Oryzias latipes: one gene and its partners. The protein of the gene in region 1 purifies or fractionates together with the protein of each later gene. This does not show direct contact. Links are inferred from orthologs where the notes say so. Each region holds a gene or a part of one and is shown in the gene's direction. Other genes may lie near its edges. The genes, in order: srprb, srpra and stx18.

The links.
Region 2: the proteins of srprb (region 1) and srpra purify together in Homo sapiens (affinity purification with mass spectrometry; 6 studies listed by BioGRID and IntAct, counting the BioPlex papers as one, with this or other methods). This does not show direct contact. The link is inferred for Oryzias latipes from reciprocal best matches to the Homo sapiens genes SRPRB and SRPRA.
Region 3: the proteins of srprb (region 1) and stx18 purify together in Homo sapiens (affinity purification with mass spectrometry; 3 studies listed by BioGRID and IntAct, counting the BioPlex papers as one, with this or other methods). This does not show direct contact. The link is inferred for Oryzias latipes from reciprocal best matches to the Homo sapiens genes SRPRB and STX18.

The regions. Positions count from the first base shown.
Region 1 is NC_019871.2:13,914,285-13,918,037, forward strand, and holds the start of srprb (signal recognition particle receptor subunit beta), read left to right. Parts: upstream 1-1,183; 5' UTR 1,184-1,230; coding exon 1,231-1,396; intron 1,397-1,701; coding exon 1,702-1,796; intron 1,797-1,876; coding exon 1,877-1,954; intron 1,955-2,036; coding exon 2,037-2,119; intron 2,120-3,291; coding exon 3,292-3,428; intron 3,429-3,753. UniProt on the Homo sapiens protein: Component of the signal recognition particle (SRP) complex receptor (SR). Ensures, in conjunction with the SRP complex, the correct targeting of the nascent secretory proteins to the endoplasmic reticulum membrane system.
Region 2 is NC_019871.2:28,761,693-28,765,355, reverse strand, and holds the start of srpra (signal recognition particle receptor subunit alpha), read left to right. Parts: upstream 1-733; 5' UTR 734-860; intron 861-962; 5' UTR 963-977; coding exon 978-1,100; intron 1,101-1,329; coding exon 1,330-1,413; intron 1,414-1,517; coding exon 1,518-1,681; intron 1,682-3,221; coding exon 3,222-3,382; intron 3,383-3,462; coding exon 3,463-3,619; intron 3,620-3,663. UniProt on the Homo sapiens protein: Component of the signal recognition particle (SRP) complex receptor (SR). Ensures, in conjunction with the SRP complex, the correct targeting of the nascent secretory proteins to the endoplasmic reticulum membrane system.
Region 3 is NC_019863.2:30,760,986-30,764,738, forward strand, and holds the start of stx18 (syntaxin-18), read left to right. Parts: upstream 1-1,006; 5' UTR 1,007-1,022; coding exon 1,023-1,214; intron 1,215-3,753. Other genes in the region: uncharacterized protein LOC101155681, read right to left, coding at 180-312, 400-688. UniProt on the Homo sapiens protein: Syntaxin that may be involved in targeting and fusion of Golgi-derived retrograde transport vesicles with the ER.

The DNA.
Region 1 (3,753 bases):
TGTGCGTAAAAAGCGCGCTGACTGCCAGGGTTAGACGGAGTGCGTAAAAAGCGCATCTGGTCTCCATTGAGAGCCACAAACGTTCAGTCTTTATATAAAATAATGTGAAAAACATGTCAGGAAGCAGTTCATGCTCCGAAAAGTTTAATGCATTTCATTTTTTTAAACCGCAAACAATACCGCGGAAGCACACAACCCCAGAGTACTGTTTTAAAGTTTTGCAGCATACCAAAAGTTTAAACAGGGCATTGTAAACTTTTGGTTTGAAAAAACTGGAAAGGGCAAAAACAAGAACTGCTTCGGTATAAGAATAAACTGAAAATGTGTTCACAACCATGTGTTTATATGCAATAACGAATTCTGATAGCATTTCACTTTAAATACAGCTTGATGCTGGTTTTCAGAAATTCCCCCATAAAGTAATAGAAACAAGATTAGATGGTTAAAAAAGGTCCTTTTTTAACCAAGACCTTTTTTAACCATCTAATCTTGTTTCTATTACTTTATGGGGGAATTTCTGAAAACCAGCATCAAGCTGTATTTAAAGTGAAATGCTATCAGAATTCGTTATCCAAAAAATGATTTTGATTAATTGGACCAAAGTTTGAGGGACAAGCCCTTAATCAATTGTATTGACAGGGAACATGTGTTTCTAAAATCACATGTTGATTTTTATTGAATTTTGAGTTTAAAAAGACATACATACACACACACACACACACACACACACACACACACACACACACACACACACACACACACACACACACATATATATATATATATATATATATATATATATATATATATATATATATATATATATATATATATATATATATATATATATATATATATATATAAAATAAAAAAACATATATATTCCATAAAGTAAAAAAAAAGATAACGATTTCCCTAGGAGGTATACAAAAACAAGCAACAACAACACAACTCATGAAATAAACTCATCAAAAAAGAATCACAATAAAAACAAATAAGGATGATCAACAGCTGATAAATTAGGGGGGAAATAAATATTTTATTTAGTTCAAACAAACCAAAAATACATAGGTCTATGGTGGAAATGATAAATAAATTCTTTAATATTGTGTATCTAAAAAACCTCCAGTTTTCTTCTGTTTTCCTGAGTGCTGCTGAGCAGCGCCCTCTGGTGTTCGTTGCGTAACACAGGCTAAGGAAACGTGTCCCGTTTCAGATGATCCGGGGCTGATGGAACGCAGCGTCGGTGGAGACATGGGAGGAAAAGAGGACGCGAAGATGCTAGAAAACACAGTTAAACAATTCATCGAGTATGTCCGCAAACAGGTTGAAGAGCAAGACCCAGTTTTTCTGATCAGCGTCGTCGTGGCCTTAGCGGCGATCATCATCACCTGCGGTAAAGTTTGCGTCAGTCTCTTACCGTTAACCGATTAGCTTAGCATGCTACTAGGCCAGGCATGTGGCTCAATGGAAGTAGTTTGTTGGGAGTTTGAGGGGTTTGTTTCTGCGCGGGGTCAGGTTCTAGCATTCAAATGTGTGTTTATGAACAATTTTAATTGTGCTTTTACGGTTGTAGCCGCATTGAAAATGGAGAAAGCTAGCTGCTAAGCTAAAGCTAGCAGCTGTCTGTTGCGCCTCACAGGAAGCCATTCAAACTTTGCAGACTAACAAACATTAAAACTCTCTGCTTTTTGTCTTCAGTTTTTCTGAAGTACTTCCTCACCAGCAAAACCGTCCGGAGCGCCGTGCTGCTGGTCGGACTGTGTGACTCCGGGAAGACCCTCCTGTTCAGTCGGGTGGGTTTGACCTCTGACCCGCTGGCTCCTGCTGTGATCCTGAGGGGACTGTTTTGATGGTGGCTTTTCTGTTTTCACAGCTAGTATCAGGGAAGTTCAAGCGAACACAGACCTCCATCACTGACAGCAGTGCCCCTTATAAAGCCAAAAGTGATAAGGTGAGGTTAAGACATCAAAACAACAACATATCAAGCCATGTGGGCTGGTTTCTCAACGGATTGTGTCGTCTTCTGATTCCAGGGCACAACTTGGACTCTGATAGACCTGCCAGGTCATGACAGTCTCCGGGCTCAGTACCTGGAGAAGTTCAAGTCAGCAGCCAGGTGAGATGCTAAACGCAATGGCTGGATTGTTTCATGTCAAACACACTTAGGGTTGACTTAATAGGGTAAACAAACAGTTATAAAAGCCGTTATTCTTATAATTCACTTCAGTCCAGATCATTACAGTTCGGACAGATTGAAGGATAATAGGTGGCTATGAGATTAAAGGATTTTTTTGATGTAATCCCCCCTTCTGAGCACGCAAATGAACAAGTATGGAGAGGAAAACTTCTAAATCAAAACATTGTTAGAAACCTCCAGCGGAAGATTTGGTTGATGGGACCATATACCACAACTGATTAAAGACCCACTCCAATAAAAATTGGGGTTTTAACATGTTCTTGTAGATTTATTTTTCTCCTGATGGAGGACATTTAAAAAAAAAAACTACTAAACTACATTTCTGAGTATTTCTTTATTTAAATCGTTGTGAATCAGGAGCAGATGAAAAAATATATTTTTTTTGATGCACCACTAATGTTAGCTTGGTGTTTTAAGATAGCGGGAGAGCGTATAAAGAAAGGGATCATGGGAAGTCAGGCCATGCTTACTCTGTGCCAATGGCCCCAGCCCACAATTTCTAAGTAACTCCTGCTGCTCCTTCAGCATAATCCTAATAAAAAAAAAACACAAGGAAGAAGTTTACAATAGATCAGAAGATAATTGGAATGGGCCTTAAACATACATACGTGCAGATGAGAGTGCAGACAGGGCCGAGTACGTTTTCAACACAGCGTCTGCCTCCCAAACTCTTGGACTAACATGATGTCTTAAGGCTCTGCCACCGATTCTAATTGTGAAACTTTTGAGATTAACCTCTAATCTTGCTGATTTAGAATGAAGATTCCTGTCTGGAATATATGGAAACTGGGATGTATTTAAGATAAAATGATGCTAATCTTTTTGATGCTTTGTGTGTTCAGAAATTCCAAAATCTGTGTGAATTAATAGAAGTGAAGCCGAAACCCGTAGAAATGTGATCTGTTCCAGCACTGCTTTTAGATTTTGTGTTCTTCCCTTTTACTGTAAAGTTCTTGTTTGAAACTCAGCTCAAGTGCCTTTGAACCAAATCAGAAAAGGGATTTTGTCTCTATGATTACAGTTTGGGCATTCATAGCACATGCATTTGCGTCATGGTGACACTTGGAATGACTCCTCCTTTCTATCCTCAGAGCTATCGTGTTTGTGGTGGACAGCGCCATTTTCCAGAAAGAAGTCAGAGACGTAGCCGAGTTTCTGTACGTCCTGCTGACCGATAGCGTGATCTGCCGAAACACCCCAACTCTCCTGGTGGCGTGCAACAAACAAGGTTTAACATCCTTTTTGTTTTTTATTGCGTAAAAGCCATTGACTGTATGTGAGAACTGGACTGAGTTGCTGCTTGTGCTCCAAATAGAAAGTACCCGCTGGTCCCAAAAAGCCGAAATCCTATAGACTTCTATTGAGAAATTAACAGCTATTACTTATCAAAATAACCATTCTTGCTCTGCTACCCTTTATTAACGTGTTTTTGCTAATCCTAAAACAATGTTTAATATTTTTGCTGTAGCACTAGTTATTCAAATTATAAACTGACCAATCAGATGCTTCAATAAAAGTAGGTGGCCTTGTGTTGAACCTTCGAAGCATTTGAT
Region 2 (3,663 bases), about 15 Mb from region 1:
TATTGTCACACACTTTTTATGAGGGAAAATAACTTTAGGTTACAAAAGGGAAAGTGAAATGAAAATTTGTAAAGCCCGAGCAGATATCGACGCTACGTAGTTTGTCCAAGTGGGGTTACCGTAGTGTGATGTTACCTTCAGGCGAAAGGACCCGAAAGGAAGTTCCAGGCAGAACGGTTATGGTACCTACAACGGATTGAGCCATCTGGTGGGCCGGATACAGCCCGTGGGCCGTATGTTTGACACCCCTGCTTTAAGGGCTCCCTGCTTTAAGGGTACCGTACTAAACATGCAAAGTTGCTTTATTGATTTGGCTCCTTTTAAGAACAGTGAAACCATGGATCCAAATAAAATAATAGTACAAAAATGTTGGTTTCAAACACTAAACTAAACATTGTGCCATCATTGTTTGAAAAATTTTCACCCATAAACAAATTAAATATACACAAAATCTTTAAATATTTGCTTAGACATTCCTAAAAGGCAATGTTAAGGAGGCTTTGGGTTTTCAAATTTAGAAGAATAATGTAATGGTATATACACAATAAATACAAAAAATCTGTTGTATTACACATATATAAGTATGTGCTTGTTTGTTTGTTCAATATCCCCATTAGCCATCAAGTGGCCCTAGAGAAACGCGTGGTTCTTTGAGGCACAGATTTATTTATTCTCCACACTCCCTCGTTTACTTTTGTGGTTATTCAATCTGCGCAGGCGCGTGATTTGGTGGAGGAAGGAGGGAGCAGGAAAAAGGCGTCACTTCCGGCTGTAGCTCCTGACGTGTCCAAAACAGTTATTGCACCGGCGTGTGGTGCGGTGTCGTGGGATATTTATTATTCGTTTTCTTATTTTATCTGGTAAGTTTTGACCGGTATTCTAGGGCAGCTGCGTGCGGGAACCGTTATCTACGGCGGGTTTTTCAAACGTTGTCTCCTCTTGTCTGTGTGTTTTTAATCCAGAAACGTGGTGTCAAGATGCTGGATTTCTTCACCATCTTCAGCAAAGGGGGGATAGTGTTGTGGTGTTTTCAGGGTGCCGGGGTCAAAGAGTCTTTCACGGGGCCGGTCAACGCGTTGATCCGCTCGGTGATCCTCCAGGTGAGTGGCCCGTCAGGTTATTCCCGTCAGAGGTACTCATTTTGGTTTATTTAGTCTCTGAAAGCTAATGCTAGGCTAGCGCTAGCTAGCTTATTGCGTAACGCTAGTAAACAAAACCACTAATTTTGGGTGAGGGCGGATTGCCAAACTGTTGGAGTTGTTGTATTGTCTGCCAGAGTGACTGAACGTGTTCGGTTGTGGTTGACGCGTGTTTTCATGATGTTTGAAGGAGCGAAGTGGGAGCAACTCCTTCACTCATGAGAGGCAAAGTCTGAAATACAAGCTGGACAATGAATTTGAGTTGATCTTTGTGGTAAGTATCGGATTCAAACAGGAACATGCTGAGAAATGCGGCCAAACGCAGGTGTTGTACAGTCATGAATGAACCAACAATCTGTGTTTATTTTCTCTCTCCAGGTGGGTTTTCAAAATATCCTCACGCTGACTTATGTGGACAAGTTTATAGATGATGTTCAGCTTCGTTTTCGGGATCGCTACAAGAATGAGCTGGTGCAGAAGGGAGCTCTGATGCTTCTCAACAACAGCTTTGAGTTTGAGGACGACTTCCAGAGGATTTTAAGGTAAAGATAAATGTCTGGTGGGTCAAGTTCAGCTGTTTCATTCCCTGGCTGATACTTGGCGGATGTTCGCCGCAGATTCTCAGAAATCCTGCAATCACGTGACCTGGATGAATAAGAAACTGCACAGGGATGGATATTAATGTTCCACACGTCCACTTGTAGATTTAAACCAGCTATAAGTTGGTTTTTGTCGCTGGTGGAACTGTAGTTCTCAGGAGGGCTGTAAAGACTCAGTTCAATAACGATTCAAGTCATCATAATTTGTGGTTGTTGATCCGAATAATAGTCGATTATGGTTCATTTTGAATGATGCGATTCACTGACCTAAAAAGGATCTAGAACATCTTTATCTTCATCCAGTGTGACTCAGAGAGAAATACCTGCTACTGAAGAGTAAAAGGGAAGTTTTCCATATTCCTTGGATTTCTTATGATAATCAATTGTAAATTAAATATGCGTACAAACAGACAAGTAAACAAATGGTAAATGGCGTGTACTTTTATAGCGCTGTTTTACCTACAAGGCCCAAAGTGCTTTATAGTCACTCACACATTCACACACTGGTGGCGGCTGATCATGGGTCGACCGCCCTACCGGCGTGGACATAGAACAGGACCAAGAATAAATGTCCAATCCGTTCACGTTTTAGTTTCCTAAAGTTCCGCCCACTGTTGTTTTTCCACATCCAAAGAATCCAAAGGGAGCATTAGTAGAACATTCTAAATTGTAAATGGCGTTTACTTGTCTACGACACATGTGGGCAAGGCGGGAATCGAACCCGTTGTCCGCCCCTACCGCTGCACCACGACCGCCTACATCCCGTATGGTCACATGACTTTGTTGAACTCATAGTGTTTCCACGCATTGGACTGGAGTGATGGAAGTAACTTTTCTGCTCTAAAAAGCACGTTGGAATAGAAAGAAACCCGAACTTACCACATTTTTAATTTCCAATCTTTTTTTCTTTTTTTTTTAAAGACAACAGTGCACATTTTGTGTCTTTGTTGTCCATCTTTTCACATTTCATGTTCAACTTGTTTCAGAATGGCGTCATCGTATCTACCAGCTGTTGTGTTGCTTCCACAGAAAAGTCCACAAATGCTCACATCTTTCTTTTCCCTGTGCCACTTCCCTTTCATCCATTATGTTTCCAAAACACCGGAGTCCAGGAAAATATTTTAAAGTCAAACGCACCACAGAGTAGATGTAATCTCAAATGTATGTAGAAAGGGGAGCTTTTATCTCAAAGAATCTGCTCTGATTAACTAGTTTGAGTCTTGGAGGAATCTTTTTATGATATACTTTAACATAATGATCACAGATGCCCCAATATCTCCTTTTGCACTTCTTTACACGAGGCAACATTTCCATCAGCCTGTAGCGTTTAGAACAGGAATCCTCCGGTCAAACTTACTTTTCCTTCGGCAGCCATTGTTGCAATTCAAGGAGCATTTTAAAACCGTCCTGTCTCAATAAAAGCTCAGAAGGATGGATCCCGCTGGGATCTTCTACTGAACTTTCCTCAACTCTTCACCACAAGGGAGGCGGAGGAGACCAGCAGGACTCGGAGCACCACCTACATGCGGGCCTTTCAGGAGTCTGAGAAATCCAAAAAAACTGTGAAGTCCATGATTGAGACGAAAGGTGGAGACAAAGGCAAGGAGCAGGGCGGCAAGAAGAGTAAAAGTTCCAAAAAAGAGCGTAAGTTTCACTTCATAGTACTGGCTTTTTTCTTCTTTCTTTTCTTCTAACACACCCTTTTTTCTCTCTTTTGAATCCAGCTCCTGCCCCCGAGCCAGCCAAAGTGGAGAAACCTTCCCCCCCGGCCCAAAAGGCGGTTCAGAACGGGAACCAGGGTTTGACACCGGAGGAGATCATACAGAAGAAGAGGGAGGAATTCATCCGCAAACACACAGCAGGACCTACTGAAAAACCCAGGTGATGACACAACCCCCCCCTCATTTCCACCAGCCTCCCGCATA
Region 3 (3,753 bases), on another chromosome or scaffold:
GATGCATCTCTCATCTTTCTAAGTAGGAGAACTTGCACAATTGGTGGCTGACTGAATACTTTTTTTTTTTGCCCCACTGTATGTCCTCCATCATGAAAAAAATACCACAAGAACATGTAAAAAACTCGCACAAACATGATTTTCATCCTTAAAGAAATAGGGGGGGGAAAAAGTGTTGCCTGTTTTCTGGATTTTCCGCTGGATCTGCGTCACGAAGTTTCTTCTGTTCCTGCATCTTCTTCTCCGAGATGTTCAACACAGAAATAACTATCTGTGTCACGGCACTAAGTTTCTCAAATAACATCTCTTCTTCTGCAACATTAAAAAAACAAAAGTTTGCTATTAGTCAGAAATGCACAATGTTACTAAACTTAAAAAAGAAAATGCATGTTTCCTGACCTTTGTTACTCTGTCGTTTTATCTCCTCCCTTGCCTTCGCAAGGAGGTTTTCCCACTTTTTGTTGCAGTCGGAAACTGTGCGCTGGACCTGTGGAAAAGCATCATTAATAGCTTGGACTATCTCCTTCCAGGCATGCCTCTTGTCTTGAACCGATACTCCGGTGCTTTGCTTTCCTCTGACTATGTTCTGCTTTTTCTGTATTAACTGAGCCAGAAGAAGGCATTCCGGGTCAGTCCAGTTGGGTCTTCTCTTTCTGCTGGTGGAGCCCTTCACTGGCTGTGGAGGCATTTGTCTGCGAGGAAAACACATAAAACAACCATTAATAGAACGTATTAAACAAAATAGAAACTCATGAAAACCCTTAGATTTTTCTCAAAATGATATTCCCCTTAACGCTTCTAAAACCCTATAATTTCAGATTAGTCCTTTTCTGTTATTGTTTTTCCATTATATACAACCTAATTCAAAGTGAAACAGTCAAATGTTGAGTTTTGGTTAAGTTCCGTGTTGATTTAATGGGAAATCAAATCCTAATCGGTGCAAACCTGTTTAAGGCTTTTCCTTTTTCCCCTTTGAGGGAAAAATCCGCTGCGGCGTCTCATGTTGATGACGTCACCGGTCGATGACGTGTCGCCTTGTTGACAGCGGCGCGTGCACAGAAATGGCTGTGGACATCACTCTGCTTTTTAAAGCCAGCGTGAAGACAGTGAAGACCAGAAACAAGGCGATAGGGATCGGGTTCGACTCGACGAAAGATGAGATTTTCAAAAGAAGCAGAACGAAGAGCGGCTTCACCCAGAGAGCGAAAGAAGTGGTGAGTGCTCCTCTTAGCTAGCGATAGCATGATGATGATGATGATGATGCTAGCTCATTTGAAACGATAAAACTTCTCTACAAACATTGCCTTTTATATGACAAATGTACACACCACTACTTTTTCTTTTAAAAACGTATAAGTACAACCATTGTTGGCTGTTTTTAAGTCGTTTAGTACCCCAACTGTTTAATTTTAAAAAAGTTGCTGCTTTTAAATTAATACCTCATAAAAAACATAAACTTGACCTAATTTTTTTTAATCTACAGACTTTGCTGTGCAATTACTGGAAATGTGAGCATTAATGAATGTAGCACTAGTTTTTCCCTAAAAGACTACACGTTTTTTAGATGAACGTAGTTGAAAAAAAAATCTTGAGCGATTGATTGATGTTATTAACAGACTAACTACCCTGTAAAAAATACTATAGCTAAGATACAGATTTCATATAAAATAATATTAATTTGAAATCTTCATCAATTATATACATGTAATTAATTTTAAATACATATCTGTGTACCTGTATGCCTGTTATGATGATTGATAAAAGTGGAAAATCTAATGTTTCAGAGGACGATTAGTCATTTTGTTGCATTCAAATAACAAATAAATGTTTACATTTGTTTCCTTATGGGAGCTTGAAATCATTAACACCTGCAACAATAAAATAATTTCCTGCAATGAACGCACCAACACAGTGTTTGTGTCCGAATTCCCACCCTAACCCCTAACTACTGCAAAACTATATAGTGACCTGAATTTTCAAAGCAATTCGGTCACCATGCTCACTACTGGAAATTCAACTGGTTAAACAATTTTACACTTAATCGCAGTCCTGCAACCAATCTGAGACTCGGATTTAGTAGTGACATGAGGGTGGCGTCCGCCACGGAAGTACCAACCGTTGTAAACATGATTTCGAAGGAGACAATAATATTTGCGGTTTGTGTTCGGACTCCAAGACGGACATTTACAGGAACAAAGCTGTGAAAACAAAACGTCTGGAGCAAGATTTGCGGGATTTTCACAGCTTTCACTTTGCACACTGAGCCTCTTCCTATTACAGGTGGTAGACAACAGTAAATACGCAGAAGAAGAAGAAGAATCTTCTCCCTTTCGCTACCTGCATGTCTGCTGCTTTTCCCATGTGGACAGTTAACAGTCGACATCGTTGAATATCAAGCTTGTCTACTTCAGCTTTAAAAGAGTCATAAAAAAGAGCTAATTTTGACTTTCCCTTACGAAAAAATCTGAGACGGAATTTATTAAAAATTATTTTCTCAATGCATTCATTCATCTTCTAATCTGTTTGATCCCTTTCGGGGTCACGGGGCTGCCAGAGCCTATCCCGGCGTCTTGCGGCCGAAGGCAGAGGACACCCTGGACAGGTCGCCAGTCTGTCACAGGGCCTCAACCACTCACCCATGCACACGCACGTTCACACCTATGGACAATTTGGAGGGACCAATTAAGCATGTTTTTAGATGGCGGGAGGAAGCCAGAGTCCCCGGAGAAAACCCACACATGCACGGGGAGAACATGCAAACTCTACACAGAAAGGTCCCCCATTGGTGTTCTGTTTCTGGTCCCCCAGCCGGGACTTGAACCAGGACTTCTTGCTGTGAGGCAAGAGCGCTATTATTTTCTTAAAGCAAATAAATAAAATATCATAAATTTCAGAAGGCCTGAGCAGCTGCGGCTGCTCTCTCATCTGCCCCCCCGTCAGCCTCCTGGGGGTCGGTGCAGTGGGTGGGGTCACTTCAGCCCCATGGGCCCTGCAACAGACTGGCAACCTGTCCAGGGTGTGCCTCACCTTAGCCCAACAATAACCAGAATGTGCTCTGGCAACCCTGCAGCCCCAAAAGCGATGTAGCGTGATAAGCAAATGGATGGTAGATCAGGACAAGGCCGCTTGGACCGATCCTCCACAGTGGATTTTTACTCCACCCCTTAACACATCAAATGGGTGAAGTGACACCTCAACCTCGCCAAAAGTCAGATTTTTTTTTTTACTCTGGATGCGCCACAACACCCAAATCGTGCTGCGACACTCAAAACGCACTGCTGCCGGTCTGCCTCGCTGCGCCTGACGCTACAATCACGCTGCCGGACCTCAGATCAAGTCTGTACATTGGCTTAACATTGTATGTCGCCCCCATTATAATTGCGTTCGGTGTGATAACCATCTTCAGAGTTATGGGTCTTTGAATCCAAATTCTGGATGTTCTAGACTTGGTGTAGGTCAGTAAAGAACACAGAAGGCGGAGGAAGTTGACAGCATGCTGAACATAAACTTTTCTCCAAATTTCCAGCTATAGATTAATATTCCGATAAAGACTAGTTTTTGGTGAAGAGTTTAGAAGACATCAGTGTGCACCCGTTTTTCACAGGGCAACACGGCCTTTGCTCTGCCCCAGCAGTTATTTATCTGACTTAAGCAGATGTCTTCAAATAAAACCTTGAAGAACCACTTTCACATTTCCCACGGGGGAGTAAAATCTTAAATGTCACCAACCATCAGCCTGAAGACGACATGAGA